4 linked regions of the Oreochromis niloticus genome follow. The protein of the gene in region 4 interacts with the protein of the main gene of each other region in a pairwise test. Links are inferred from orthologs where the notes say so. Each region holds a gene or a part of one and is shown on either strand. Other genes may lie near its edges.

Region 1 (7,851 bases), on a different chromosome or scaffold from region 4:
CAGGACATGTTGAACACTGCAAAATGTGATGAAGACATTCTTTATATTCACTTCAGGTTTGTGACATACTCAGTTATGCTTTTTGTTAGGTGTGTGCTGTACCTTGTGGGGCATTTCTCCTGTGTGGGTGACAGTATGCAATCGTAGAGCTTCTTTTGCATTAAATGTAGCAGAACAAGTGAGGCAGGTGTACGTCTGGAATTATAAAAGTAAAAACACTGAGGATTCTTCATAGTGAGGGTTGGAGAAAGTGTGATTTTCTTCACTCACCAGCACACTAGCACAGTCTCTCATCTCGTGTATCAAAAGGTTCTCCTTCCTGTAATACCGTTTTCCACATTTAAGACAACCGAAGGGCTTCTCCCCTGTATGCCTCCTGTGGAGATGAGACATTAGTTTACTCCTTTAACAGCATTTGGAAAGAAAAAAAAAAGGTGACACCCTGTACCTGTTGTGAACCTTGAGGTAGTATTTGCTCTTGAAGGCTTTGAAGCAGATGGGACACTGCACGGAGGCCTTCTTAGAGTCGTCCTCCATCGCCTGACCATTCTTGTTTTTGTTTGTTTGACTCTGGGCCTTGCATGTCTGTCTGGTCGACGTAGACGGGGATGTGGTTGAGGAAGCGGGCTCAGCAGCAGGCACATACTCCTCATCTGTGTCTTCGGGAATCTCCTCCGGAATACCCAAGTCATCATTATCGTCTTCTGCTTCCACTCCCCCACTTACCTGGCTAATAACATTGTCGTTAATCTGCAGCTCCGTTACCTGCAAACAACAGGAGACAGGTGTAATAAAATCCCCTATATTCCTCTTTAAAAACACACTCATTATTATCCACACAAATGCCCCGTCATTGAAATATTTTTTCATGCTTATGTTATTGTATTCTACCTCAGTTTCACCAGCTAGCTGATCTGAGTTTTGGTTTTCCTCAACAACTGCATCACCAACTTCTTTCTCCACAGGAAGAGGCGGGGTCAACTCGTTTTCAGTTGTAGGGCTCTCATCGATAGTCACTAGTCGCCTGGGGCCCTTCACTACTCGGCCAGAGCGTGTGGTGGTTGCTGCAGTAGTGGCAGCAGTGGTAAAACTGGCTGCAGCAGTATCAATGGTGGGCTCGTCTTTCGTGACTTTAATTAAATTCTTCTCTTTGACTGGGTTGATGTCTGAGGCAGACTTTCTAGGTCTACCTCTTTTACGCTTGACAGGCACAGGCTCCTTAGAGGTCTCCTTGAACTGGTGACAGCGTGTGAGTGCCTCTGGTACGCACAGGCTGGCTGCTGCCTGCTGGACTCTGTCCAGGTTGTGAGGATCCAACTTTAGCTCTCCGGTGTAGACAAAGTTTAGGAGCAGCTCCAAGCCATCGCTGGGGCATCCCTGCAGGCAGAACTCTGTTGCAGAAGGCATGTTTGACTGCTGGAGGAGTTCACTGAAGCAGGCGAGGATGTTGCGATGAGCAAGGAACACTACCCCGTCTCCCACATTCAATGCTGCATCACAAAACCTGCCCACTGCCCTCTGCTGGTTCAGGGCGGACAGGACACGTTGCGCATGGTTGCTCTCTGCTGCAGACATCCCTCCTGCTTCACTGTAGATGGCTAGTAAATGAGACACATCAAACAAAGCGTGTGGTTTAGACCAATTATCAGCAGAGCACCTAGTCAAAAAATCCACATGTCACTCTAAAAGTGCTTTACAGGATTTTGAACTGATGGTATTTTACCTGCTTCCATGTTATCATTTCTGTTAGTGCCAGTAATGAAAGATAAAACTGGGAAGATTTACTAGTATTAATAATTAGAGACCAATTGCCTTGGCAAATGTATTTTGTAAAGTGTTTGAACACAGATTTCAAAAGCATACAACAACTGATAATCAAGTTGGTTTTAAGAGTAAGTGTAATACTGATCTGTACATAAATATATATACAAATATAAGAGACAGAACACATCAGTTTTATGTGCTTTTTAGATCCGCCCAAAGCATTTGACAGAGTGAACAATCAGCTGTTTTTTAAATTGCAAAGCAGAGGGGTCGCTGCATATGTAATTAGGATTTTTGGCATTCACATCAAACTATGTGAGCTAAGTGGGTTACGGAGTATCTGAACCTTTTTCAGTATCTATTGGCTCTTTTGTGTCGTAATTGAAAACTGAAAACTACTTAAGAAATGTCAAGAAAGCTGCCTATGAGAGTTCGAGCTATGTTATAGAACAGAACTGTAAAAACTCTGTTTTTGCCTTATAGCCTGTATTTCCTCATTGAATAACCCTTAGCATCTTTTTCTCGTTTTCATAGCAAAATATAAAGGAGAGGTAACCTAAGACTTTTGCACAGTACTGTATTTGCACTGACTGAAGAATCAAGTGTGCGTGTGAGGTCAAAAAAATACATTTGAATGTGTAACCGGGTCATAAATTACATATTGTTATAATTACACAAAATGTGTTCAAAACCCCACACCATTCCTTTTATACCTGACTTTTAGGACCTCCAAGCCTGTAGTTAGCTTCATTATCAGTTAGAGCCCCTCCTAATCCTTTTCTTCTTCTTCTTCTTTGGTGCAACCTATAAATTTGGGGTACCACTTTGGCCTCTCCCCTTTTCTACAATTCCACTGTGGTAGAGGTTGGTGTAATTTCTTTTCCAACACTAATTATATCTGTATCCACCCTGATGTTTCTGATTGTGTTTTTAGTTCATTATTGTCATCTTCACCCCTGTCTTTACTAGATCCTATGAATATGTAGTACATGTGTGCCACATATGTGTGTAGGCACCGTTAATGCTAGCATGAACAGATAATTCTGGCTAGCTTGGAAAGTGTACTGGGTTGAGCTAACTCTCGTCCCAACTGTTTATATTTGGTTATAGGAGCTGGAGCGGGCAAGTTATTTACTTGGAGGTCTTTCTTTTTACCTTTCATTGTCAAACACAACGCAGGAACACACCGGGGTATTCTGGGACTCCATCCTACCTAACCATCCTACCTACCCTACCTACTCGTTATTTCTGCGCATGCGCACAACCCATTGTGAATATTTGTTATGGTTAGAGTTAGGTTACGTCCACACGTACACGGGTATTTTTGAAAACGGAGATTTTCCGTTTTCGTTTTAAAAAATAATCCCGTCCACACGTAAACGCAGAAATGAAGGAAGACGCTGCTAGGAACATGCCAAAGCGACAGGTGGCGATATATTCCTAACCGTGTAGAAATGTTGGCCAAACAGAAGTCTAGAAGCCTCGGTGGGAAATACTAAACAAAGATGGGGCATAGAAGCAGAACAGAGTCCTATGTGTGGAGGGACAGTAACTGTGTGTGTGTGTATGTAAGCATTTAAACACTGCAGAGAGTACAATTAACAGTATTGTAGAAATTCATTTCACCGAAACAATAACGTGGCGCACAGTGTGACGTCAAAAAAGGCGCACACCTTTGACGCTGTTTTCTCCGTTTTCCTCGTCCACACGTAAATGCAAAAACGGAGTTTTCGAAAATATCCACCCTGGCAGGCGTTTTTAGAAATCTCCGTTTTCAGTGACCGAAAACGCCGTTTACGTGTGGACGAAAGGTGCAAACGCATAGAAAAATCTGCGTTTTCAAAAATACCCGGGTACGTGTGGACGTAGCCCCAGTCACAAGTCACCGTCAAATTATAATACGGGTAGGACCATTTGCCAAAGTAGGACGGTTTCTAAGAACACCGGCTACAAACGCAGGTATCTCACCAAAAGGAATTCTAATGAATAAAATATTTTAAAACATTAAAAACAGTATTTAAAAAGGCTTTAAGTAGTATTTTTAAGCAACAATCACACTGAGGAATTACAAGACGAGACTGACATATGTACTATACCGCAGGATGTGTTCAGTCGACTGTCTGACTTTAAAATGCTCGATTATATTATATCTTAAACAAATTCTATCAACTTTTTTATCAGCTCAATTTAAACGATTAAAATCCCAAAGATGCTGAGATTATAAACATATACATAAAGCAGAAGCAACAAATATAATATTGTGCTTATCAAATAAAAGTATCTTTGATGTTTTCCGACTGAAAAAAACCCTGAAATCATTATAAATCATAATTACTAGAGATTTGTAAACATTACTGATAGTATTATTATTTAATGCAAAGATTTTTAAGTCTATTCATTGTTAAGGTTTCTTGCAAAAATAACAAAATGTATATGTTGGTTCCAGCTCTTTAGATGTGAGGATGTTTGCAGCTTTTATTTATCTTATATGACAAGAGACAGAACACAATTAGTTTATGAATTGTGAGATAAAGCAAGCTGCTGGTGTTCGATTTAAGGAAACTGGGATGAACACGTTGCACCTTTTTAATCCATTTTAGGAGAAAACAAAAAAAACAATTACAAAAAAATCATATAGCTAATAGCAGTAATTATTTGTGTGCACTAGTTTTATTTTTAATACTACAAGTACATTTTCCTGATTATACTCCTTACATTGATTTTACTTGCTGGATTTGTATTTTTATTAATTTAAATAACTAAAGGTATTTAAAAAATAAATAACTAAAACTATCCAACACTGCTGATTATTTGACAGTATAAAAATATTCTTAAAAAACATTTTAAAGTATGTACTGAGCATAGCTCTTAATATTAGATGGACAAATTAAATAATCCTTAGATTTAAATTTGTGTCCTTATATTTACAACATTTATTGAGCTGCCTTTAAAATAAAGTCTAAACACACCCTAGTGCATTTTCAGTGTACATATTCGAAAAAGCATTCGTGAATAATTGCAAACTCCCACCTACTTTGCACTTCCACGTTTAGTTCCTAGCACATCTCTTTAAAGACGCTCCCTTAGCGCGCTGTCCAGCAGACAGCTACAGCTTCAGCTCGCGTTTGAATTATCGATTAAAAACTAAGTAAACACGACGAGCCTCTCTGTAATCTGCACACGATCCGGGCGTAACATGAGCAGAGTGATAAAACAGAAAAGCCTAGCTTCGTGCACCTTGTTTTCGTTTCTTGTAGGCCCCTAAAAAGTGCGAAGTGAACAGGATGTGACGCTGTTTATGCGACCGCACTCCGGGAATGTTTTATGTCGTACAATATTAAAATATTAACGATCACATGAATCAAAATCTGAGACGTAACCAGATTCTTACTCGTGGCTCCATTTGTCTGTAATATTATCGACGTATTGAAAAAATACTAAAAAAGTACATTAAGTTGTTAGACGCTTCTTTTAGCAGATAATAACACTTCGGGTAAAGTCATAGTTGACCATCTGGACTGGCGTCTGTTTGCGGCTCACACATGTAAGTATTAGCCTGTTAGCACCGTTGCAATTACAAGTGACCAGCTCTTTAGTGTCTCTTAAAATAATTATAAACATTACCTGTGCATGTTCGCAACCAAAGCACAGGGATTATAACTACAGCTTTGTGCCATCTGTTTTAAAGCAACGTTTTCTCGGGAAGCAACCACCTTAGCTAGCAGCTAATGCTAGTTGTTGAGGCGGTGGTAGGTGAAGTTGGTCGTGATAACTTCAACCCAAGTTTAAAATTGAGGTTGCATTGTTGTCATACTGCGTGAAGGTGATTTTATTCATTGCCCTGTTCACATTTTGAGAGATTAAATTGTGGAAAACCGACATAATTGGCTTTAGTTTTCATTTATATTGAGCTGTGGCTGGAAAAGAAAGCTAGCTCTGGCTAACGGATATGTTAAAACAAGACTATTATCAGGATTATTTAACCTAAGAGAAGATGTACTGTATTCATCACAAACATCGAGTAGTTCCTGTGTTACAGCAGCCGAAACAGTAAACACAATTTTTAAATGAATAACGTAAACAAAGAGTAACCTGAAGTAGTGCAGCTGTGTTCATGGGCTTTTGAGTTTTTGTAAGTGGCCTTCAATGTTTGTTTAATATGGTTATCTGGTCTATGGTATAAATGCTGTGAACCTGCATATGAAACTGAGCCTGCATGACTTAATTTTAAATGATGGAGTGTTGATGTAAATTTCTGTGCCTTGTCATTTTAAAATAAAAATAAACATAATAAAAACAGCCTTACTGTCTTATAAAGACTCACAGTCTTATACAATGACTCAAAGAGGTGAAAAATACTTAAGTTAGATCAAATGTAAAAAAACAAAACCCTAATATCGCCTACAACATTGGGGGAAAACGTCCCTTAGGAATAACACATGTAAAAACTTGTGTTGTGAGCTCCAGTAGATTTGTTTAAGATAACATAAGATAACCTTTATTAGTCCCACACGTGGGAACCGCAGCCTACCACTGAAGGAGCTAGTCAGTGCTGTGAGTCTCCTGCATGGGGTAGGAGATGTTGTCCAGCAGGGATGGCAGCTTAGCCACCCTTCTCCTTTCACTCACCAGCTCCTCTGTGTGTGTGTGTGTGTGTGTGTGTGTGTGTGTGTTGTGATCAGCTGACTTGCGCCACTGCTACTCTGACATTTACTGCTCTTTGTGGATTTAACTGAACTCAATAAGATATAAGCAGACAAGTCAGCTTAAGCATAAACAGTCTGCTACCTGTGATGGAAGCTAAAACTGATGTTTAACACCATAGCGGGAACTTGACTGCAACAGTTTCAACCCATAAATACCCAGGCATCAGGATAGATGAACACTTATTAAAAATAACTGAAGATTATTATAATAATAACTATCATATTATTACAATAAAAATCTCTGTGCAAAAGTTAAATGCCATGAAGTAAAGTTGCTCTTTAAGTAAACTAGATGGGTTCCACAGAACTAAACTAATAATAGCTTGAGTGTAAATGCTTTGTTTCCATTAAAAGTGCATCTTTTTCTTTGCAGGTTCACCTTTTCATTTTTCTTGTACCTGAATGACTGCTGACAATCATGAAAGTGAACAAACACGCAGAGGTAAAACATAAATCTCACAAATGGAAAGATGCGAAGGGAAAACGGTGCAGACCTCCTGTCAGTTCCTCTAATGTAAACTCTAGCCCTGTGGTGATCAGCATGGTGAAGGACCACCAGGAGTCTGTAAGGAAAAAACCATCTGTAAAGAGGCTGAAAAATAAAGTGAAGTCTGTCTCTAACCACAAGAATGGCTCTTCTGAGTCTGGAATTAAGAAGACACATGCTCAGGCTAATGGAAGCTCAGTGTTTACCATAGACAATGACTCAAATGACTCACAGGACTGGAAGGAGTATTCCCAGTCAGTGCATGGGAACGGTATGGAGACCTCAGATAACACTGAGGATGTCCGGAGAGGTAGATTGGAGGGAGAGGCTCTGCATCACTGTGCGCAGAGAGACGATCGACAGAACCGCACAGTACTTGTCATGCAGAAGGATCAGGTATGCATCAGTTGATTTTTAGTTGGACATGTAGATGTTTAATCTGATTCCAATTCATTTCTGTGACTAATCATGTCTTACCTGCAGACGCTGTGTTTCCGCGGGAAGTGCCTTCTGACCTGTCTTTATGGTCGTGTAGAAGTTATGGGATTTACCATCGAAGAGGGTCAGCAGTCATATTCGCTTTTCTCCCCAGCGTCACATTGTCCACTGAGTATTAGAGGATTAGAAAGCATCAGAGCGTTGGAAAGTAGAAACGAGGCATCACACATCCTCCAAAAGTATCTTCCACAAGGTGAGCAGCACACTTTTTCTTTTATGTTTGAAGTTAGGCATTTGTATTGGTTTTTCAGTTAAAATATAGCACTAGGAAGTCTGATTGGTTAGAATTCATATCATATAGGCAAAAATCCTGTGAATTCTACATAGCTGGACCTTATTTCTCTTTGCAAAGTCTAGATTTTTTTAGGCTAATAATTCTATAATAATAATTATAAT
Region 2 (7,966 bases), on a different chromosome or scaffold from region 4:
TTCCCACTGAGACGTGAACCAGGTTCACTCTGGAAATGAATCCACTGGTTGGCTGATGACTCACATAAATCACCTGTTGAACATGCTAAACACAAACTATAAAATCATTTCATTCAAGTTTTTTCACGTGATGCTCCTCAGTCTGAAATAAGCATTGTGTTCACGGCTGCGAATGATCTGGACTTTATGGATCTTTCAAGCTACACCCCTGATTCTCTAACAGTTTTTTTTTTCTTTCTTGGTACACAAGCTCCATTAAAACACAACAGGCGTGAGGTGTGTTGCTCTTCTCTGCGGGCGTCTTCTTACCTTGCATGCTTTAGCGTGGAGGTGTAGGCACATTTTCTCGCCACCTGCCGAGCCAGAGAAAAGAGCTCCACCCGTCTCAGCAAAAGGGCATTGTCACGCATGCAGAACTGGGCTGCAGCTTCATTGATGATCAGCTGAGAAGGAAAAACACTGATTGCAGAAGGGATGGACACTGATTGACATTTGATAAAAAGCTGCACTCTGGTATGAAGTGCAGCTTTAATCAGGTATAAAACATATTGCGATGCATTAACATCATCTTCACTTTGATGCTTTTACCTCATGATGTGTGAGCTGCTTGCCTTCCCTCCTCTTGGAGTCGAAGCGCCCATAAATAAGACTGTATTTCCGGATCTCCTCTTCCTTGTTCACGTCCTGGGACCCCATTCTGAAGATGTGTCCCACAGTCTTTGCCATCTTCTTATTCATCCTCAGCAAAGTCTTCACCTCTGCAGGATCTGACCTAGGCAGGGTCGTGAGGAGCCTCTCCACAGTCTCCACCACGGCCCTTGCTGTCTCCCCATCCAGCTGTCCTCCGGGCCAGGCAGACGGAGCTGCCGGGGTGAAAGACGCAGAGGGGCTCGGAGACGTGGAAGGACCGGGAGGACATGTTGACAGCAGAGGTGGGCTGGATGGCTCCTCTTCTGTTCCAGGTGCAGAACCCAAAGTGCAGTTCCCATCATGCTCTGGGCTGAGCCAGTGTGGATCCATTGGAGAAAGTTTTTCCCTGTAGTGTGTGTCTGGGGGCTGTGGAGAGGCCTGGGAACAGGGGCTTCTTGGACTCCCGCTGTGCATTGGTGTAAGGCACATCCGATCCTCTCTCTCACAGGGGGATCCTGGCTGCCCATTACTCACAGACTTTCTGGGCCCGCCAGCTGATCCACTTGTGCCAGTGCCATCAACTTTAAAGAGCGGGATGCCCCCGAGAGGAACATTAGCAACAGGCTGGCTGAAAAGGGCAGGGTTCGCCGCCCAGTCTCGGAGGGCCTTTTGCAGCCTACGCACATGCAGTGGCTTGGTGGCCATGCCAACTAGTGCCATGATCTCCAGGAACTCCTCCTCCGCTGCCTCGCAGAGCTGCTGGACATCGTCACCACCCTGCTGGATAAAGGTTTCATAGTAGGCCAGCAGGTTGGCCCTCTGGAGGACCCGATACAGCTGCAACTCACCAAGTGTGCGTGGCAGAGACATGGCACACAGCACTGGAAAGTTTAGGCAGGAGAAAGGAAAGACATGAACCTGCAGATGGAGAAATCCTGTACAAGTTAATTATTTAGATAAAGACTTTGGCATCTGGACCACACCTAGTATATACAGAATACAAATTACAAATATAGTGAAATAATAAAAACTGATAAACAGTTAAAAGCAAGTTTAAGCATCCCTTGGGGCAGAATAAGCTCCTATCTACTCATTATATTTTTCATGACTTAACCTTTGAATATACATAAATCGCTTTTTTCTTACCTTCTTTAGGTCAGCTTTACAGATGTGTAAAGAGGAAACCGGCGTAATTACGCAAGGGTGTCGCTCCAGCCACCGATGTCACGGGTCGGATCTGCCGGAGCAATACTGACAAAAGAAATAAAAACTAAAATCTCCTGATCACAGACAGAACCGCATTCAGACTGCACTAAAGTGGAAACACTCGTTTTATTGGCTCCATTTCAAATAAAGCCATCGACTGGAGGCAACTGTTTACTATCCAGATGTTAAGAGGAGAGCACCCAAAGACAACGCAGTTATTATCCCATTCGTTTCTTACCGTCTTACCTATTGCCGACAGCTTCCTCGGCGCAGATTGGCGTAGTAAATCCCCTTTGCGTATCTTACCTCGTCTGAAATCACTGGCAGAAATCCTCCTCCGGCGCACCGTATTGGTTGCTGGCTGCCTTTTTGCTGTCTGTGTGGGCTGGAGAATGACGGGGGCGGACTGCAGCACGCCATCTGACCGAAAAAGAGCCTTCCTCTCCCGGTAGAGAGGCGGCTTTCAAATTGGAGATGTGGGTGGTGGTGGTGGGGGCTTGAAATTAACCCTCTGCGTCTTCAAGATTAGTCCTTTATGCAGAAGCTTTAGGGGGTTCCCACCGTTTTACTATGTCAGAGACTCCCAAAACAAGCAGCCAGCTATACACTATACAGACCTCTATAGATAAGAATAAACTGACGTGACAGATGTGAATTTTTACTGAAGACCAGTTCTGTTATTTCCCCCCATTTTATGTAGGAGGTGGTAGAGTGGGTGAAGCTCCAGCAGTTTTTAAATGCTAGTATTGTATTTTGTTTTGTTATGTTTGAAAAAGTAAAGGACCAAGTCACCAAATCGAGACTTTAAATTGACTAACAGTATCTCGAAAGAAGCTCAAAGTCCAACACCAGCATCTCCAATCCTTTTTGTTTGCCACATTTTATATGATTGTTCTATTGCACAGTGATGGCCTAAGATATGTATTGTGTGCCTATCCATTTGCAGTTTTAAGTGGCCTTTAGGTACATCTACACCACGCACTTTAGAAATAAGGGATTTATTCATATGTTACAAATAACAACCCAACTACCCTTTTACTGTGAGCATAAGATGGAGTCTGAAAAAAATAAGCCAGACCAAAACATCGTGGTCATTAAGCGTGGGCTTCTAACACGCAAATCTTAGTATTAAGGAAAATGTGTTATCCTTTTTCCTCCGAGTGTGATTAGCAGGCTACTATGAACTAAGTTAGGACTCGGGTAAAAACAGGGTTGCTGGGTTTCTTAACCCACATTTCTAAAGTTAGCCGTTAACGGTCAGCTATTCCCAAAACATTAGATGGCAGCAGAGTCCCGCTGTTGTGTTTTAACCGCGCGCAAACCGCGAAGAGGGAGCTGGAGGCGGAAGAGGACGTAGCAATAAAGTGGGAAAAGGAGCCGCAGAAGAAGAAGAAGTGGCTTAAAAAAAACAAAACAACACCGACACTTGGATGTCTGTTAACAAACAAGGTTATACAGTTATCCGAGAGGTATATATGACATTTCATTTGTTTTAATGCAAAACGCATTTTATTTGCCTTCTTTGTTGGACTGGACGTCCCGGTGTTTAAACACGTCTTGGCGTTAGTAGCCAAACCAACCACACAGGAAGGGGAAACAGGCGTTTATATTTCAGCTAGTCCTGCTAGTAGCTAAGAGTTCACTGCTGGCTCGCTAAAAGCATTAACAGTCGCCTGTTGTGTCTTCGTTTGTGACCTTATTTAGTCGAAATGTTGCCAGGTTAACTATCCAGAGGCAAGCTAATTTTAGCCCCCGTAGCGCCTGTCTGTCATCCTGCTTGGCTGCTTCCTCATGCTAACACCAGGACTGCCTGCTAACATTATCCGCCTTTTAAAACATCTGGTGATTTGAACACAGTTAACATGTTAAGGGTCTAACTGACTTCTTTATACCCTTTTTATTTACTGTGAAAAGTTAAAAGGTTGTTTATTAAAGGTCGGGTTTTAGACACACTGCGTTCTTGTTTGGCTAACTGGATTAGCAAACAACAAAGCAGGGTAACTGCATGTAGTCTGTTTTCACATCTGCATAAATACGCGTAAAAGTAGCTTCAAAGAGGGTATTTGTAACTACTTGATACATATACAGTTGTACCGATGAAGTCGTGCAGCTACATTGCTCACTGACTGCGTAACTTGTAAATTTGTAGTTACCCCCTTTTGTTTCTTTTAAAACTTATTGTTTAGCAGTTATTATGCGCTCTGGTGTCAAAGCATTTGTCTTAAAGTAATGCTCCTCTTACTTTTCAGTTGTCTGGAACGTCTAAGGTTTTTTCCTGCATTTAACCCAATACATTTAAAAAAAAATCACTTGGAAACAAAGTTAGAGAGACAAAGTAGAGATGTGCAGAGGAGGGAAAGTGGATGTTAGGGACGCTAGGGATAGTGTGAGGTAGAGGCACATGGTTTATGGTTATATATGAAATCAGAAAGCCAAAAATAACAGGAACAAGGATTCACTTATATTAAGTAGGGTGACACAGACTTGTTGTGATATCAAAACCTGGAGATTGATTCATATCTCTTGCTTTTCAGGAGCTCCAGTGCATCATGTGAGTTGTGCAAAAGCCTTTTGATACCTACAAGTGGCTGCTGATGTGGTGGACCTGAACTTGACCTGTGCGAACCCCCAGTCTCGCTTTTTTATGAGAGCCTGGGGAAAATGTGGCCTCAAATTATGGATTTAGGGACTCTTTAATGAAAGTCAGATTTTACAGCGTTTCAGTCAAATTGCTGTAAGGAACATGGAAAGAGAAGCTGCTAAGAAAGAGATGGATGTTGTGGACACTGACGAGGAGATCCCTGATGGTGTTTCGGCCTCAGTGACCAGTTCAAGTCAGTGTGAGGTTGAGGATGAGTGCGAGCAGGAGGACAAAACAGCCTATCTCAGATCTCAGGAAACTCCAAACCCAGCCACTCTACAAGACCTTGGGGCTGGTGAAGCAGAGGCCAAAGATGATATTGAGGAGGTTTCAGAAGAGTTTGAGCATGACAAGACTACAGAAAATGAGAACTCACAGGTTATAAACCAAGAAGAGGATGATGCAGCAAAGGAGCAGCACATGAATGGGGAGTCTGGTTGGAGGAACATGGGAAGTGGAAGGAAGTGCAAACTGAGGAGCGGTGGGTCAGTTTTAGAGCAGATTCAGAGAGGAAATGTTATGTCAAGTGGCGGTCGGCACAAGCAGACCCGCAGACGTAACCACCACCACTATCAGCAGAACCGGGGCCGGCGGAGGACAGGAAACCAGCTCATCTTAGCGTTCAAGGAGATGCTGTCAGAGTCTCTGAGCTTCTGGTGCATCTCTTGCATCCACATGATGATTGAGATTATTGTCACTTTAACTCACAACTGTGGAGTTGGAGTGGAGACTGGAGTTGTAAAACTTTACAACCTTGGGCAGCAGCTCCTTGTGAAGGTCACTGATGTTCCTGGAATGAAGGCAGATGCGATCCGGATTCTGAAGTGGGCAAAGTGCAAAGGAGCTTGTGTGGTGGATAAAACTGTTAGGTCAGTAAAGTGGATAAAGACAGTTGCCTTATCTTGTTTCACATTTTTCTGTGCTTTGGTTATTCTGGGATCGCAGTGGGCCAAGGGGGTTTTCCTTCGTATTGGTGGGGATAGGGGGAAGCACTATTGGACGGCTTTTCAGGAGTCACGCGTTTGGAAGAGGATAGTGTCCTTGCTGGAGAAAGCCCGAAGCCTATTCAGGAGGGATGGTCATGTACCGCCATCCGCACCGGGGTCACCTGGCAGAGCAGGAAGAGCTCAACCAGGCCAGGAGTTGGAGAGACTGCTGGCACTGGTTGAGGTACCAGAGGATGAGCTCGATCCCTTTACAGTTCTCGGTGTTGAGGTGCATGCCACTGACACTGAGCTGAAGAAGGCTTACAGACAGCTGGCTGTCCAGGTGTGAGAATCAGAAATACTTCAATTTTTACTATTACATGCCTGCTGTAATGACTAGTTTTGATTCTTTACTCATGCAACCTTTTCCTCTATCCGTTCTCTTTCAGGTCCATCCAGACAAGAATAAACACCCACGAGCTGGAGAGGCGTTCAAAGTGCTCAGAGCTGCCTGGGATATTGTCAGTAATCCAGAGACACGACGAGAGTATGAGTTGTAAGTGCACGGGGAAAAAAATCAACAATAAAACCACAAAAGAAAGAAATATTTTAATCACAATTATTTATTGTATTTTAAATCGTCTTGTCAATTATTTTAATGCAGTGATTTTTTTTAGTTATTTCTTTTAGTTCTTATTGGTAAAACAAACAAACCTCACTCAAGTGCAGTTATTTAGCAAGTTTGACATTTCACTCATTATCTCTGATCAACAACTTGTCTTACTCGTTCTCACGCAGGAAGCGCATGGCAGCAACTGAGCTCTCAAAGTCCATGAACGAGTTTCTCACTAAACTGCAGGATGACCTGAAGGAAGCCATGAATACTATGATGTGTACCAAGTGTGAAGGCAAACACAAGTATGGTGTTACACATCCAGCATCACCTTCACACAGCTGCACATGAAATCAAAAGATTCTAAAAAAAATTGTAGCTAATCTTGTGTTGCAGGCTTTCAGCACATGTGTGTTTTCTTTGTTTCCTGTGTGTGTGTGAAGGCGCTTCGAGATGGATCGTGAACCCGCTGAGGCCCGGTTCTGTGCTGAATGCAACCGTTACCATAGCGCCGAGGAAGGGGACCTGTGGGCTGAATCGAGCATGCTGGGCCTACGCATCACATACTTTGCCTGTATGGATGGCAAGGTGTATGATATTACAGGTGAGCATCAGCTGTTGTTTACCTGGCCGGCTCGTTAGTAACAAACCACTAGTGCATCTCAGAGTTTGCATTTACCAGCGATCTTTGTTGATACTTCGACAGGCTACTGAAAGCTACGGGTTTTTCTTGCTGAACATTTTACTCTCAGTCATGTGACCTTTTATGATACTATCTCGTTTCAGAGTGGGCAGGTTGCCAGAGAATTGGAATTTCTCCTGATACACACCGGGTCCCGTATCACATCTCCTTTGGTTCAAAGAACAACAGCAATGCCACACGACACAGGTACATCCCTCTGGGTGAACGTTTGGATACAGTATCTAATATTTATGAAGCAAAACAAACAGTTTGATCCCTCTCCATCACACTTAGGGGCGTTTTCACACCTATAGTTACAAACTCATTAAGTGGTCTGCATCAGTTGATGAGTTTTTAACTTTTCCCTGTGATTTTGTTTGTTTTCACGCAACATGGAGAAAAATCCAAGCAACCGAAATGCATCCCTACAAACCACATGACAATGTTTACTCCACTTATTGGCCAGATGTGACTGAAGTGGGAGCAACAAAAGTAAATACAGGAAGATGATGCTGTGTTCTGGACTATTGGAAAGTTCATTTCACAGCTAGTTGCTGGCCCGTGCAGACCTTTTCTTGTCAATAGTACTTTGTCACGCTCAAGAATTTAAAGCATGCATGGCTCAAACTTGCAACGCACACCTGGTCGTTGGTTTGGCTCGAGCTCGGATCATGTTCACAACATAAACGAGCTGATCTGGAGTTCATTTGGAACTGTACTGACACCACCACCTCCAAAGTGTCTTTGTGTGGTTGCTTTGGTCTGCACCTGAGTGCGATCTAAACAAACAAACCACACAAAGGCTCAGGTTTATCCCGCTTGTTTTTAAACATCTGCCCTTTGCCAGCAGCAGACTGGAGAGTTTTCCTTTTAAATGTGCAGAGAGGGGAAAATGCAAACCTTTTGGCACTAGAGAAGAAATTAAAATAAATAAGCTTTAAAATGTCTGACTTTGCTTAAATTAGATTAATGTAAACATGTTTGATATTTGTTCTTTTTATTTCTTTCTCAGTCTGTCATCTGTGTGTGTGTATTTTACATGCATGGCAGGAGGAGGAGCTCCCCCTTGTGTATTGCTGAAATAACAACGTTTACAATAAAGAAAGCTGTACTATTCATTTCAATTAAAGTCAAAAAGTTTCCTCTCCACGCAATAACATTATTTCACTTGACAAACTTAAATTTCCATCTTATCTTTCAGGACACCGTCGGAGCACGCGGCAGGTCCGACCAACCCAGCTGATTTGCAGGACTTCTTCAACCGAATC
Region 3 (7,757 bases), on a different chromosome or scaffold from region 4:
TTTCTCCTTTTTTTTGCTGAATAAGACCTAAGATGATCCAGACTTGCTGACCGTGCTGGTTTGCTGCAGCCCTCCTCCTCTCAGTCAATTGTGAGCTGATTTATCGTGGTGAACAGAAGCAAGGCCCTCTGGCTGCCATTTCCGTACTTTTCCATTAACCTCCATTAACATTCTAGTGCAACAGTAGCATTTTGCTTTAAGACTCTGAACGAAAGAAGAAGAAGCTCAGGGGCTAATTAGGAAGTAAAAAATTCCATCCTGGCATGTGCAAGTGAGTCGCAGGGCTTGGACGCTGAATATGATTTTCTTTTTATGCATTTTATTTATGCTAAATGTTACTCGATTTGACACACCATTGCAAATGCTTGGAAAAATTAAAATCCAGGAGATAGCTTCTGGTTAAGAAGGCTTCAAGGCTTTATTGGAGTTTAATGCAGCACATGATGGACTTGAAGGCTATTGCACATACAAGGCAGTTACATAAGCATATTTTGGTTAAGGTAAAGCACCAGCAAACATTTCTTCACAAAGCAGAATTCCTACCGCTGACAAATCCTTTCTTTGTAAATGTTTTTTTTTTTTTTTGCAGAATCTTTTGCAGAGTGTACCTGTGCATACATGCTTTCAGGCACTCGTGTCGACCACACAGAGGTGAAGGTCACCAGCACTTTTTTAAGAGATTTTCATTTGGTTTGAATGAGACATCAGAGCAAATAGGAGCACCAGAGGATTTGGAACATCCTTTTAGCTACAGGCTAGCACTTTGTTTTTAAAATGAGTAAAGTTAGACTTTTTTATCTGTTGTTTTCCCATTTTTCTCCTCAGCCTCCTCTTCTTTTCCAGTTTCGTCCTCCTTCTCACCCTCTTCATCGCCCTTTGTTTCTTTCTGATCGGCATCTTCCTCCTCTTGAGGCTGGCCGTCCTCTCCTCCTTCCCCCTCGTCTTCTTTTTCTCCATCCTCTGCCTCAGCCTCTTCGCGATGAAAATGAGGTGAAGAAAGATAAAAGGTCACATTAGTTTCCCACACACAGGGACACGCACAGGGGTATACATAGAAATTTACCACACTAACCTTCTGCATCTGCCTCTTCCTCCTTCTCTTCTTCGTCTCCTTCCTTCTCTGCTGTCTCCTCCTCCTCTTCTTCCCCCCCTTCCTCCTGCGCTGCCTCTTCTTCCTCCTTTTCTTCTTCAGCTTTCTCTTCCTCTTCCACCTGCTCTTCTTCCTCCTCTTCGGGAGGGCTAGCCTCTGCCTGCTGTGCTTGGCTCGCAGATATTGTCTCCTCTGTGGGCAGCGATGTAGTATACAGGCGGGAGCTCAGCAGGTATGGAGCTGCAGAGCTCAGCTGAGAATGCATGGAGATCTGCGTTCTTGCATAGGACGGAGCAGAAAACATGGCTTGGGAGTACCCAGTGACAGAAATCGGTCCTGCCACATTCAAACGATTCTCTTCTCCCTCAAGGAGCTTCCTGATAGGATAAAGCACACATTACAAGAAGATGAGATGCCTAATTGCCAATTTTATTGTGTATTCCACAATTACCCATCCAGTATATAAGACAGTGGGACACTATGTATAAGGCACTTACCTGTATGCAGCAATTTCGATATCCAGTGCCATCTTCACATTCAGAAGGTCCTGGTAATCTTTCAAGTAGCGAGCCATGTCATTTTTGTTTGCCCTCAGCTCTTCTTCCAGTTCACGTATTGTATCCTGTACAAAGAGAAATGTTATATGTACATAAGTTAAATATCTGCTCTGTGACTCCTCTGAGTAACAGAAAATAACAAAGGATCACTTCTTCTTTTTTTTTATATCACAAGAAAGAAACAGAGGTCACTGCACTTCCTTTGTTTCTGTGCCTCACCTGCAGTGCAGCAATCTCGGCACTCTGTTTCTCCTCCACTTCCTGTAGTTGGTTTTCCAGAGCTTGGTTCATCTGGCGGCAGGCATCAATCTCCAGCATTTTGGCTTTAAGCAACCGGCGGTACTCTCCAGCTTCATCTTTGGCACCGCGTGCAGTCTCCGTGGTGCGAGTGGCGCCCACTGTCATGACATTCATCTTGTTGCAGAACCATTCTTCGGCCGACTGCAGGTTGCGCTGTGCCAGCTTCTCGTACTGCACTCGGATGTCACGGAGGGCAGCAGACAGGTCCGGTTTGGCAACCTCCATCTCCACTGACACCTCTGCGCTGTACTGGATTTGGGCCTGCAGCTCCGCAATCTCACTCTCACAGAGGCGCTTCAGGAAGGCCAGCTCCTCCAGCAGGGTCTCGACTCGTTTCTCAAGCTCGGCCTGGCCCAGTGTGGCTTCATCTGCTCCCTTCCTGGCATCCATGAGCCTGCCCTCGGCCTCCTCTCTGCCAAGCACTTCCTCCTCATACCGTTTCTGCAGGTTCCTCAGCACATCCTCCATCTGATCCCTGTGGTCCTGGGCTGCTTGCTTTTCATGGCGGGCCTCTTCCACAGCTACACGGAGCTGGCGGATCTCATGCTCATACAGGGCCCGAATGTTGGATGGCTCCGTCTGCCTTTGCCTAAGCAGCAGGAGTTCAGTCTCCAGCAACTTGTTCTGCTGCTCAAGTTCATGGACCCTCTCAATGAAGCTTGCGAAGCGGTCATTCAGGTCTTGCAGCTGAGCCTTCTCCTGGGTCCTTACTGCTTTGAACTCAGAGCTGACTTGGGCTGCTTGGTCAAGGCGTAGCTCAGGAGTAGCTGCAAACACAGGAGCAGAAAGAAGGGTGGAGTAGCTGGAAGTAGCTCGGGTGTATGCTGGATAACTTCTGCGTGAAGATGCATAGGAAGGTACTGGGGCAGAGTGGGTGGAGTAGGCAGACCTAGCTACTCCTCCTCCACCAGCCCCATATCCTCCGCTGCGCACAACTCCCCGCTTCTTGTAAGCATAAGAAAAGTAAGGGTCAAAGCCGGCGGAAGCCATGACTAGTGAGACGGGCTGCTCTGTGTCTGTGAATGTTGCCGGGCCGACTGCACAGTGAATCTGCATCACTCTGACTTTTATAGGGCCAGTAATGACTGTGACGTAAGCTTTTTTTTTTTTCTTTGCAGGCATGCTGACAGAAAGAATTGATAATAGTGCCAGCCAGCCGGTCTCAGCCAAGGAAGAGATGGGGTGGGTGAGGATGAGTGTAGGGATGGAGGAGGCGGGGGAGAAGCAACGACAGAGCAACAAGGGACTGCAACAGACAGGGTCAGTGAGGACAAAGATGATATACTGTTACACCTAGAAGCTGCAGTTTTCTTGCAGTTCTTCATCAGAAACCCTGACAAAGACCTCATCTTTCTATCACATATCTGTGCAAACTACAGAATAAAGGGAAAACCATCTTTTAGCCACTGCTTTGCATAATTTTATACAATTTGTCAGCAATGTCTGACAAGGTATCAGTGAAATTTCTATTATGATCCAACTATCACAGCAAACCATTGCTAAGGTAATCAGCTCAGCATCTTGGGGTGCTGAAAAAAGGGTGAAAAAAACCAAACTGGATCTTATCATGATTATAGATAAAAGTTTGCCCTCTAGTGGTTGACTGTTTCCCATGCATGTCACAATGTTGATCATGTTGATTTTCCAGAGCTTCATTTAGACCAGGGGTCCCCAATCCCAGTCCACCAGGGCCGGTGTCCCTGCAGGTTTTAGATGTGTCCTTGATCCATCACAGCTGATTTAAATGGATAAATTACCTTCTCAACATGTCTTGAAGTTCTCCAGAGGCCTGGTAATGAACTAATCATGTGATTCAGGTGTGTTGACCCAGGGTGAGATCTAAAACCTGCAGGGACACCGGCCCTCGTGGACTGGGATTGGGGACCCCTGATTTAGACCCTGATCCACGCCGTGGAAAAAACACGAGTCACTCGAATGGTTCTTAGTACGTGAGGAAAGTTTCCATGATGGAAACAGGGCTATAAATATTTAAGACTGGGAGCACTAATCTATAACAAATGTTCTTGTTTACACCTTGTCATCTCCTGATTTAGCCAATATGAACTGTATATTTGGTGAATAAATAAATATATGATAAATTAATTCAATAATATGCAAGATAATACTCATGGGCTGTATGTGGTTGGTGCTACATTCAAAATGAAGCTATATTTTTCATAAAACAACATGTCTCATTTTCAACATTTTATATATTATGCACACGTGCTGCTTATGCTGCAGCACCCACGCTTTCCAGGAAACAGGGTTGCATATTTATCTTGTAAATATGGGGAATTGGATTCTCAAGAACATATGCACGTCCATCCATGGGCAGTCAGCTTTATAGTGCACAGGCCGAACTACAGTCTAAAGACGTACTTGGAAAAAAATATGAGATGGCTATGCACTTTACTACAAACTTTGCGTGTATTTCTGTTAGTTTTGCAGTTTACATACAGTTTTGAAGTGTCGCAAATCAAGAAAAAATCAAGTTAATAAATTTTGCCATTATTAGTGCATAATTGATAAGTCAGTAATGTTTCAGGAGAAACACAACATTTTGTTTGGACATTTTGCTCGTGTAGTGTATGTATGATTGTACACAGTTGTTTGAAGATTTAATAGCTTGGACTTGATGAGAACAAGTAAACATACAAGCAAACATGTATAAGGCTACTGATTTTTCTGCCCAAAGGATTTGTTGCAATAGGCTGTTCCCAAATCCCTCAGTTTTATTTTTACCAAATCTGTGCACTTGCTTACCCATCTAACTGTGGACCATGACACTAGTACACACTACGAATGGACCTCTGCATAAACTTGACATACTACGGGTAGCCTAGCTTCCGATGAAGTTATTTTAACTTTGGTCAAGAGGGGATAAGCATATCTCTGCATATTAAAAGTTCATGCTCGTTTTTAGGAAGCTGGCACAGGTATTGTAACGAGCCACTCATGCATATCGTGCTGTTTAAATGGCCTGCTGCCCCATTGAGGCTTTGAGACCGCAGAGGGGCTTTTTAATGGGCTACTTGCTGAGAAAAAAGTCTATTCAATTAGTATGAAATTACCCATTTCTTCCCATTTTAATTAACCACTAAAATATACGAATGTATGAATGAAACGTAGAGCTGCCACCCAGGCAAAAGAAAAAAAGAAGTATATCACGTTATAACCTGAAAAGTTTATTGTTCTAACAAGATACTTTTCACGTTTGTACAATATACTATCATGTTTGTACAATATACTTTTCACGTTTGAACAATATAATATCACGTTATTACAATATGCATAAATATCACGTTCGTACAATATATTTATATTGTACGAACGTGATATTTATATTGTACGAACGTGATATTTATATTGTAATAACGTGATATTTATGCATATTGTAATAACGTGATATTATATTGTTCAAACGTGAAAAGTATATTGTACAAACATGATAGTATATTGTACAAACGTGAAAAGTATCTTGTTAGAACAATAAACTTTTCACGTTATAACGTGATATACTTCTTTTTTTCTTTTGCCTGGGTGGCAGCTCTACGCTTCCGTACGAATGACACTATTATAAAGATATAATGTTATTTCGCGGAGCATCGTCATTTGGAAAACAAAGATATAACCAATAACAAGTGTACATCCCTCTGACCGACCTGATTTTGCCCCAACCTTTAATTTGCAATTTTATATATAGAGGTTCCTGATTGGTCACCGATGTAGTTTAAAATAACACTATGCAAGAGTACGCATTTGGCAGGTTGGGTTTCTGTTGCACAAATTAGGATAATATACAATATTCTATTTAATTCCAACAATTGGGCTACCTTTGTGTATTCCTTAGATAGCGTGTAGCTTTGTAATAAATGCTCTTTCAGTCGGCGTGCTCTTTTCCTTGTATTGGCCTCTGAATATCCGACACTTCAAATGCCATGTCGCGCTGCCCCTTCTGCAGGCGTACGCCGGTGTAGTAATAAAGCAAACCCAGACGGTGTCGCCCAATATCATACAGTATCGTTGGTCCTAAGATTACGCCCACTGGGTATTGACCAATCAGTGACCACGTTACTGATTGGCGGGCAGCAAATGTCATCCAGTGACGCAAATATTCTCGGGTCTCATCCATGTTTGACAACAACAAAGGATGATGAATAGGTTAAGTTTCTAAATTGCTTCGTGCTTCGTAGCCGCGGAGTTTTCAGGGTTTGTTACGTTGCTCGAGTACCTGAAACTTTACAGGTGCAGTTTAATTGAGAATGAATGGTAAGTCGCTGAGCTCTGGAAGTGACGGTCGCCCGGCGGAGCACAAGCTACAGTTAGCTCACAAACGTCCCTGCTAATTTCGGCTAGCTGGAGAAACTGTGAGCTACGTTTAGCATCTACTCTTCAGAGTTCTGTATATTATTTGCTAGGAGCGAAATATCGTTTACAGAGAGCTAAGTTAACCACATTTGGTTTTGAATGGCCTGTCGGTAATGTAAGCTAGTCAGTCCCAAGTGGTCGTAATCTCCTCTTTAAAGAGCAATTACGTGGCGTGATAGAAACGCCGGCTCGCATTGCTTTTCTGTGTTGTAGGTTGTGTACGCCCAAATCTCTCACATACATTCAAATAAATAGATAACAGTAAATAAAAAAGACACAGAGGACATACTAAATGGCTTTGCAGTGTAATTTTTGTTTTGTCTTGCATTCATCGATGTCTCTTTCCTGTGTATCCAGTTAAAATCTGCGAACCGTGAAGGCAGAAGATCTGCTTTTCAAATATTAAAATGGTAAGATCTTGAATCACAGCGTCAGCTACATCCTCATTGTAACTACGCACACTCCCTTGCCTAAGACAGATTACTGCATGGTAAAGCGTTTTCTCGCTGCCCTTTTACACAGATTCGCATAGCAGCACTAAATGCTGCTTCGACAGCTGCAGACGAGTCTCAAGACCCCCTGAGAAACAGCAAGAGTCAGACAAAAGAGGCTCAAGTAGGCTACATACTATATGCTGATGAATAAGCAATATTAGTTCTATCTGCTGATGCAGTCATTCATCTCTGTACATCCCATTAAGTCAGTTGTATTCCCCCGTTTGTTTCTGTCTATAGGAAGCAGAGGCATTCGCTTTATATCACAAAGCTTTGGATCTGCAGAAACATGATAAATTTGAGGAGTCCGCCAAGGCCTACCATGAGCTTCTCAAAACTCCACTGCTCAAAGAGGTAAACACACCAACAAAAATCTTTAATATGGTTGCACAGAACATCCTGTTCATCCATCCATTCTCTTACACTTTTCAGGGTTGTGGGGGTGGGTGGGCTATCCCAGCTGTCCCAGGGCGAGAGTCAGGGTAAACCCTGAACAGGTCAGCAGTCTATCGCAGGGCTAACACATAGAGACAGACCCTGGCAGGAAGCCAGAGTACCGGGAGATAACCCACGAAAACACGGGGAAACATGCGAACGCAACACGGCTTTGCCCCAATCAGATGGTGGATTCGTAATTAGGACCTTCTAGCTGTGAGGCAACAGTGCTTACCACTAAAGCTGCTGTTCTAACATTAGCGCGTTACCTATGGAGGTAATTTATTGTTTTCTATAAATCCACCATCCAGTCAACAGTGCGCCGGTATTCTCATCACTGACAGCCATCTCACCCGAGATCCTTGTCTGCTCCCATTCTGTCAGTCTCCATGACTGATTGAGTGTGGTGAAACCGGCATCAGTGGATGAGTGCACGCACAGAGGTCCATCGCTTGGTCAAGGATGACCACGGGAGACATAAAGAATGAAGCAGACGCTGCCTCACTTGCTCCG
Region 4 (7,230 bases):
GCAAGTTAGATGAATGATCATACCTTTCTTTTTTACTGCCGAGTTTGTTTGCTGTGTACTGATCCCCGTAATCGATCAGATGTAGCTGTCGTGAGAACACGTTCACTCGATTCCCAATAAATAAGTCCTCCTGATGGATGTCATCGTATCTGGTCCTTCTCAGAAATATCCGCTGGTTCTTTACATCGAACTGTGAAACAGGTATATTTTTCAGAAATGCTAAAGAAAAAATCTGAAATTTTCATCAATATAGAGTTAATTAAAACAAATAAGCTATTTACAATTTCCATTACAAGGTATTCATATTCTGGATTAAAAAAAGAACATTCATAAACACACCTTCAGGCAGAAAAAAGAGAGACAAAAAGTAAGCACTGGGGTAAAAGCGTACCATTTCTACTGAGCCATCTCTGGGGTAGTAAAACAGTTGATAACGCCGCAGGAGGGCGGAGGTGGGGTCATACCACTCTGTAAGAAAGGCAAACCGGTCCTCCTGAAAATAAATAAATAAATATAACTTCGATATTAAGCTTCTTTCTGCAAAGGAGAATTTCTGGCAACCCCAAAAAAGCCAAAAGAAAATCAACTGATTCTTTTTTCACCCACATGATTAATTTCCTCCAGCATATTAGACATTTCTCATTATAAAATGATCAAAAATAACACAAAATTGACAATTTATTTCAAAAAACTGAAACTAACTCACTTATGAGGACAAATCATGTGTGTTTTTTCAACCCCAAAGGCCCAGTTTGAGCCAGGAAAACCCTGAATTTGTGCCAACAAATTAAACATACTGAGCTTTTAAAAGGTCACCATGTCGCCTGAAACCACAGGCCAATGTTCAGGTGAATATGCAAACCTCACAGATGTAAACTGGGAGGCACGAATCCACACAGCTCAGGTTTATTTTTACATTTTGGTACATTTCCACAAATGTGTTTATTAACAGAAAATGAATGCAGTACATAAGGTGGTCAATATTTACAGAATCTGGCTTTTTACAAACCAAAGGCTTCTGTTATTATTAAGCACAGAAATGTTATGACTCAATATGATCAGGTATGCTCACCTGACTAGTAGCAGACTTTATTCAGTTCACCTTGTCAACCAAAAATAATTCAGTAAACACGGATAACGATCGGTTAGCACTGTTGCCACTGAGCAACACAAGCCTGGATTTGGTTTGCAGGTCACTTCCTGCAGATCAGACCTTTCACCAAACGAAAACATTTGGAGCATCACAAAACCAAATATACCACAGAGAAGATCATTTTTTGGGTTTTCTACAGCGAATAAAATATGGGCTCATGAGATTTGCAAATCATTGCATTCATCCATGCATTGCATTCATCATTCTGCCAGGTCTCTCTTGGAAATGAGATTTTAAATCTCAATGAGATTTTTACCTGAATAAATAAAGGACTAATAATAATAAAAAAAATCCATCTTTAGGACATTGAAGTTCGTGTTTCCACACTCCTTATCTTCCTCATGCCGTTTCCTATCAAGATTAAGCAGCTAGGAAGACACAGGAAGTGATTTCACAGACTATTTCGCTGCAGTGATTGTCCTAATCACCACCAGGCCAATGTTATCATGTTTAAAGGATGATTTGCTGAAGGTGTTTCCTGGTCTACTGCTCATCATTAATCCAATTGGTTTTGCAAAGAAAACGCTCCCTATCTCTTGCACCACTGCTTCATGAAGCCTGGCGATGATCCGGGTCTTATCCCGAACAAGCAAAACATCAGTGCTAAATCTACTATTACTTTTCTGAGTCTGTATATTCAAAGCAGTGCTCCATCAATGTGGGATGGCACCACTGGAAAGGCACAGAGGCAGTAAAAAGTAGGATGAATGAATACAATTTCTTCAAGGACAAATAAATCAGTAACAGTGTTTTGGTGCTGTTAGTCTGATTAATTAAGAAGAATTCAAAATGGGTTATTTTTTCATAGTAAATGACTGCCCTCCTCCCCCTCTTTTAAGCCACTCTATATCTCCTATTTCTTCGATTAGCTCTTAAAATACCAACAGTCTTATTGCACTTCAGGCTATTTACTTTGTAATGTTTTATGTTTTCAGTTATTTTTAACATGCTCATAATTTTCTTCCTCTCATATTCTGTTTCATTGCATTTTGTTTTCTGTAAAGTATCTGGACCCACCTCCTACAGGTGCTACACAAATATAATTTGATTGATTGATTAACCAGTCTGCAGTTTAGCATTAATCAGTCGTCTAACACACCATGTGAAAGATGAGGATGTCTCTCACAACTAAAAGCTCAGACCATCTCCTCCACTCAGCCTAGTTAATAGAATAAACAGAAAACATGGGCACCAGCTGAATGGATAGAAACTCTTTGAGCAGAAACATGTTTGATGCCAGGTTTACCAGCATTAAAAGCACCTGCTCAGCTACACCTTTAGCTAATTTAATCACAGCTAATGTTCACCGTTAGACGTTAACCACACAGCTACCTGTAGTATCTGTAGTTAAACTGTGTATAAGCCATAAATGATATTTTTAAAGGAGCTAACGGCTAACCCGTTAGCCTGAAGCACTGATGTTTAGAACTGCTCGGCTAGCTTGTGTTTATTATGCTAACGGTAGCAAACAGCAACCTGTTTCAGGCTCTAACGGAAGTTTTTACCTTCACCGAAGCCCTCACGCCCCCCGGTTTGATGACAGGAGGGAACCTTTACTCACCATCTTTTAAAACATCCCTGTAAACTCTGTGTGACAGCGCACTGTTGTCAGCTAGCAAACATTAGCCGTACTTCGTTTCTATAGTAACTGCAGAGGTGCATTCACGTGTTCATGGGAATTCTGACCTTTCAGCACAGTTTTTGTTATTTGTTTTTATACAGACCTTAAAATGTAATATATTAGTCATAAATCATTGGATGGATATCATTAATTAAACTGTATACATGATAATTATAAAGCAGTACAAAAGAAAAGCTGCGCTGTCTTGCTCCAGTGGTGGTTTTTAAAGTAAAGGAGCGAGGCAAGAGTCGGGTTCTGGTGAAATACACTGTGCATTTATTGTGTATGAGGACACCTAGTGGCGGTCTGCTGATGCTGCGAAGAAGTTCAGTTTTCAGCGGCCATAAACGCACCTTTTCATTGCACTGTTACCCGGAAGAACAACATAGTGAAAAATGAAGGATCTGATGTTGCACTTCACTCTCATCTGTGTGAATAATTAAGCTGCCCGGGGGTGTTATTTCAGAGCAGTCAGCGTTAATAACTTGACTGCATGATCTTCTTATGAAAAGCAGTGCAAAGAATTCTCCAGTAAATTTTTTAATGAAGTGTTGCTCCATGGGCTCCTCTGCTCTTCTCACACAGATGGTTAATGATGAAGGGCCATTGATCCTAGATGGTGGACTGGCAACTGATCTGGAAGCGCATGGAGCCAAACTGCAGGTAAATCATAAAAACAACCTGCAACAGGTCACCATTTTCTATTGATTAGACTAATTTAATTTCTCTCTGGAGATGTTTTGTGTCTATTTTCAGTCAATCCATGTCTCCATGGTGGCTGTGCTATTTGTTTTGTAGTTGTGTTACTGACTTATACAAGTAATTTAAAAGTAATTTTAAAGCTGTGGTTCAGAGACCTTAGCCAGGCTTATCAGATCCCAACAAACTAAATATGTGAAAAGTCTGTTTAGTGTTTAATTTCTGTATATTTAAAGTTTTAAACATAAAAACATGTAGCCAAATACTCTGAATAAAGAGAATGTTCAATAAAATAAAATAACATTTGAAGTTAGGATTATTAGGGTTAAATTTAAATACAAGCATTAAAGCAACAGTCTACAGAACAGTGTGTAAGATGTAAATAAAAACATAGTGAAATGACTGCAAATCATGAGCCCATATCTTATTCAAAATAGAACACAGAAAACTGAGTACCATTTTAAGAAAAAAAACATTAACAACAAGGTTATTTTGAAGTTGATGGCAGCAACATATCTATAAAAAAAAGGGTGGGACGAGGCCATGTGTCTGGGAACTGAGGAGAGCAGCTGCTGGACTTATCAGGAGAGGAATGTCATCCCGTTCTGGTCTGATACAGGATTCTAGCTGCTCAGCAGTCCTGAATCTGCTTTGTTGTGTTTTTGGTTTCATGATGCTCCAGACGCTTTGCTTGATGAAAGGTCTGGACTACAGGCCTGCAGTTCAGCCCCCAGACTCAGATTTGATGAAGTATGCTGTTTCCCATCCCCCTGCTGAAATACGCAAGGCCTTCCCCGAAAAAGACGTCACCTGGATGGGAGCATATGTGGCCCTGAGAAGTCCAACCCACTGAATCCTAAAGAGATTCAAAAGTGCACAAAACAAAACAGAAGTTTTTTTTCTTCTTACATTAAGTTTCTTTGTCTACGGCACATCTGTTTGTGAAGTTAGAAAAACTCTGTCCACTCCACCCCAGAAGCTTCCAGTCGTCACCACACCTGCATTTCCTTTCATACGTGCTGGTGAAACTTGTGCGACTTGGGACTTGTTAGTTGCTCACAATGCTTCACCTGGGAGGTAGACTGCAGCTATTCCCTACTTAGAATCACAGCCTGCTGAACTTTAGCGAGTCAGTCAAACCTGAGCATCAAAGGTCCATCAGTGATCTGAGTATACTCTGTATCTTTGCAGAAGAAAATACCTGCAAGGTTTTGTATTTATTTTCAGAGAGATGGTTAAATGACCTGAATATATCCTCTGGCCCTGTTCTCACAGCCTGTCTGTGACTGTGAGTCACTTGATTTTCACAGCTTTTATGTTTTTATTGTAATATCTTTACTGAATTTCCCAAATCTGGCCTCTTGACACATTCCCTCCCTATAATGTAAAAGATAATAATTACAAAAACTAAAAAGATTAAAACTAAAACACTGAAACTAATAAAAATGAAATAAAATGTAAATATTTTCAAACAAAAAAACTGAACGGACTTCAAAACAACGTCAAAATGAAATACAAATAAAAACTAATTAGAAAATATAAAACTATAATAACTCTGAAGGTTGAGATGCTGTAATGTTACTTTCTAGTACATGATCTATAGGGACATGAGTAAAATATCCAATAAATGTTACCAAAACTTGTGTTTTTATTTATGTAAAGTACGTAAAAACGTGAATAGTATTTTTATCTGGTCTTTACAGATCAATTATAACATGTTTTATTAATATTGTTCTGTGAATCTGGACTGAAATTCATGTGTGTGTGTGTTACATATGCAGGGAGACCCTCTGTGGAGCGCCAGGCTTTTGCACACTGATCCTCAGGCCATAAGAGATGCTCATTACAGGTGTGTCCATGCAAAGTGTTGGTAAATAAACTTTCTAGTTTCAGAGTCTTAAATCTGTGTGTGTGTGTGAACAGGTTCCTGCTCAGTGGTGCTGATGTCATCACGACAGCCACATACCAGGCAAGTATCCCAGGATTCATCAGCCACCTGGAGGTGAGCGCTGAACGCGCCAGAGAGCTGCTGATGTCCGGAGTTCACCTGGCCAAAGAGACGGTGAAGGGGTTTGAGTCAGGTAGGAGAGCTTACGCTGAGCTGAGCCGACTCTGGCTGTAAACTGTGATATAATCTCACATTTTATTTCTCTGTAAAGGGCAGAGACGCCCCCTGGTGGCAGGCTCTGTGGGGCCGTACGGGGCCTTTCTGCACGATGGCTCGGAGTACACTGGAGCTTACGCAGAGCAGATGAGTGTTGAAGTAAGTACCCCTCAGCCACGTACTGGACTTTATGCCTGCTTTGAGAAGATTACCCAGAATAGTTGTTTATATCTCCGGTTCTGGTTCTGTTTATATTTTAGGTTTGTTCCATGAAAAATCATTAAGTACCTCCTTTTTTGGGACAATAACTTCAGTATATTTAATGACACTATGACACTTTTTACCTTAATACTATTGCTATTTTCAGAGTTACAAAAAAAATTAAAGCATTTTGAGTACAACAGAGATCAACATTTAAGCTTTGTAAACTAATAATTAGCAGCAAAACTGCAGCAGTTTAACATCTCTGATGCAGGGGAACAAAAACCAGCATAGGTACCCTGGATGTTTTACATATTTTTGGATAATCCACTGGAGAATATTTTAAAACGTGCATTCTGGGTAAACGTTCAGCTCATATTACCATGTAAAAGCATATGAAAGGACTTCTTTTTTACCTATATTGTACTTTGAGTGCCTTAAACTGAAAATATTCACAGTATGAAGGGAACGTTTTGCACGATTCTGAATCCGAGGGGGTCAGATTTGATTATTTATGTTGCCTGATCCTTCTGATGTTGTTCTCAGTAAGTTTATAGATCCATTTACTGCTGAGACAGGTGAGAATAAATGTTCTCAGGTGTCTTTAATCTATTTGAAGGAGCTTAAAGTTTGGCACCGGCCTCAGATTGACTGCTTAGCAGCTGCAGGAGCTGATCTCATCGCCTTTGAGACAATCCCGAGCATCAAAGAGGCGGAGGCTGTGGTGGAGCTGCTGAGGGAGTTTCCAAACTCGAAAGCCTGGCTGTCATTCTCCTGTAAGGTAATCACTGCCGGTGAACAGCAATGGTGAAAGATACATATTAGTTTGTTGTTAGTCACGCAATGACTCACCTCGCCATCAGGACCAGAAGTGTATATCGGACGGCAGCCTGTTCGCTGACGCCGTGCGGGTTGCCAGCAGATCCAGGCAGCTGCTCGCTGTGGGAGTCAACTGCTGTCCTCCAGACGTGGTGGAGCCGCTGCTGGACTCTGCTGGACCACTGCACACCTCAGACATGAGCTGGGTGGTGTACCCTAACAGCGGAGAGGAGTGGGACACTGAGCGGGGGTGAGTCTGAAGCTAAATTAACACACGACTGTCTAAACACCTCACATCAACGTGTTTACATTCGGTAAATACAACATAAATCTACCATAAAAACTTGATTCCTTACAGAGAAAAAAGAAAATCTGCTAAATATCTTTATGGATTCAGTAAAGGATCTTTTTTTCATTCAAAGGTGGCAAACATCAGGAAAACCATCAGCATGGACGCCTGATCTGAGCCACATGTGGGTGAAGCAGGGCGCTGCTCTGATAGGTGAGCTCAGCTGCTTTCTCTTACACTCAGTCTTCTTTTTTGCAGCATTTTCTCTGAGCAGCTCTTCTCTGTCTTACAGGAGGATGCTGTCGTATCGACCCTGCTCACATAGCGGAGCTAAGGCGGCAGTT

Evidence for each region.
Region 1: the proteins of nme7 (region 4) and zbtb48 interact in binary tests that used the Homo sapiens proteins (3 or more experiments, as listed by UniProt). The two-hybrid records come from large-scale screens. The link is inferred for Oreochromis niloticus from reciprocal best matches to the Homo sapiens genes NME7 and ZBTB48.
Region 2: the proteins of nme7 (region 4) and nab2 interact in binary tests that used the Homo sapiens proteins (3 or more experiments, as listed by UniProt). The two-hybrid records come from large-scale screens. The link is inferred for Oreochromis niloticus from reciprocal best matches to the Homo sapiens genes NME7 and NAB2.
Region 3: the proteins of nme7 (region 4) and neflb interact in binary tests that used the Homo sapiens proteins (3 or more experiments, as listed by UniProt). The two-hybrid records come from large-scale screens. The link is inferred for Oreochromis niloticus from reciprocal best matches to the Homo sapiens genes NME7 and NEFL.

The regions. Positions count from the first base shown.
Region 1 is NC_031984.2:8,011,704-8,019,554, reverse strand, and holds the start of zbtb48 (telomere zinc finger-associated protein), read right to left. Parts: upstream 3,003-7,851; 5' UTR 2,927-3,002; coding exon 2,920-2,926; intron 2,629-2,919; exon of another isoform or gene 2,478-2,628; intron 1,599-2,477; coding exon 892-1,598; intron 766-891; coding exon 449-765; intron 377-448; coding exon 271-376; intron 196-270; coding exon 103-195; intron 17-102; coding exon 1-16. Other genes in the region: polynucleotide 5'-hydroxyl-kinase NOL9, read left to right, coding at 6,889-7,353, 7,441-7,648. UniProt on the Homo sapiens protein: Plays a critical role in transcriptional regulation and chromatin remodeling. Acts as a regulator of telomere length. Directly binds the telomeric double-stranded 5'-TTAGGG-3' repeat.
Region 2 is NC_031970.2:24,802,148-24,810,113, forward strand, and holds the start of nab2 (NGFI-A-binding protein 2), read right to left. Parts: upstream 3,003-7,966; 5' UTR 2,075-3,002; intron 1,882-2,074; 5' UTR 1,777-1,881; intron 1,549-1,776; exon of another isoform or gene 1,512-1,548; 5' UTR 1,501-1,511; coding exon 589-1,500; intron 444-588; coding exon 310-443; intron 1-309. Other genes in the region: dnajc14 (dnaJ homolog subfamily C member 14), read left to right, coding at 4,580-5,746, 5,853-5,959, 6,202-6,321, 6,460-6,620, 6,803-6,905, 7,900-7,966. UniProt on the Homo sapiens protein: Acts as a transcriptional repressor for zinc finger transcription factors EGR1 and EGR2. Isoform 2 lacks repression ability.
Region 3 is NC_031977.2:10,144,196-10,151,952, forward strand, and holds neflb (neurofilament light chain b), read right to left. Parts: upstream 3,003-7,757; 5' UTR 2,938-3,002; coding exon 1,867-2,937; intron 1,713-1,866; coding exon 1,588-1,712; intron 1,468-1,587; coding exon 1,073-1,467; intron 973-1,072; coding exon 785-972; 3' UTR 394-784; downstream 1-393. UniProt on the Homo sapiens protein: Neurofilaments usually contain three intermediate filament proteins: NEFL, NEFM, and NEFH which are involved in the maintenance of neuronal caliber.
Region 4 is NC_031986.2:33,233,112-33,240,341, forward strand, and holds the start of nme7 (nucleoside diphosphate kinase homolog 7), read right to left. Parts: upstream 3,005-7,230; 5' UTR 2,718-3,004; coding exon 2,715-2,717; intron 494-2,714; coding exon 392-493; intron 191-391; coding exon 24-190; intron 1-23. Other genes in the region: zgc:172121 (homocysteine S-methyltransferase 1), read left to right, coding at 3,279-3,437, 5,255-5,322, 5,397-5,554, 5,633-5,736, 6,377-6,559, 6,642-6,847, 7,020-7,099, 7,179-7,230. UniProt on the Homo sapiens protein: Possesses an intrinsic kinase activity. Displays 3'-5' exonuclease activity with a preference for single-stranded DNA. Does not seem to have nucleoside diphosphate kinase activity.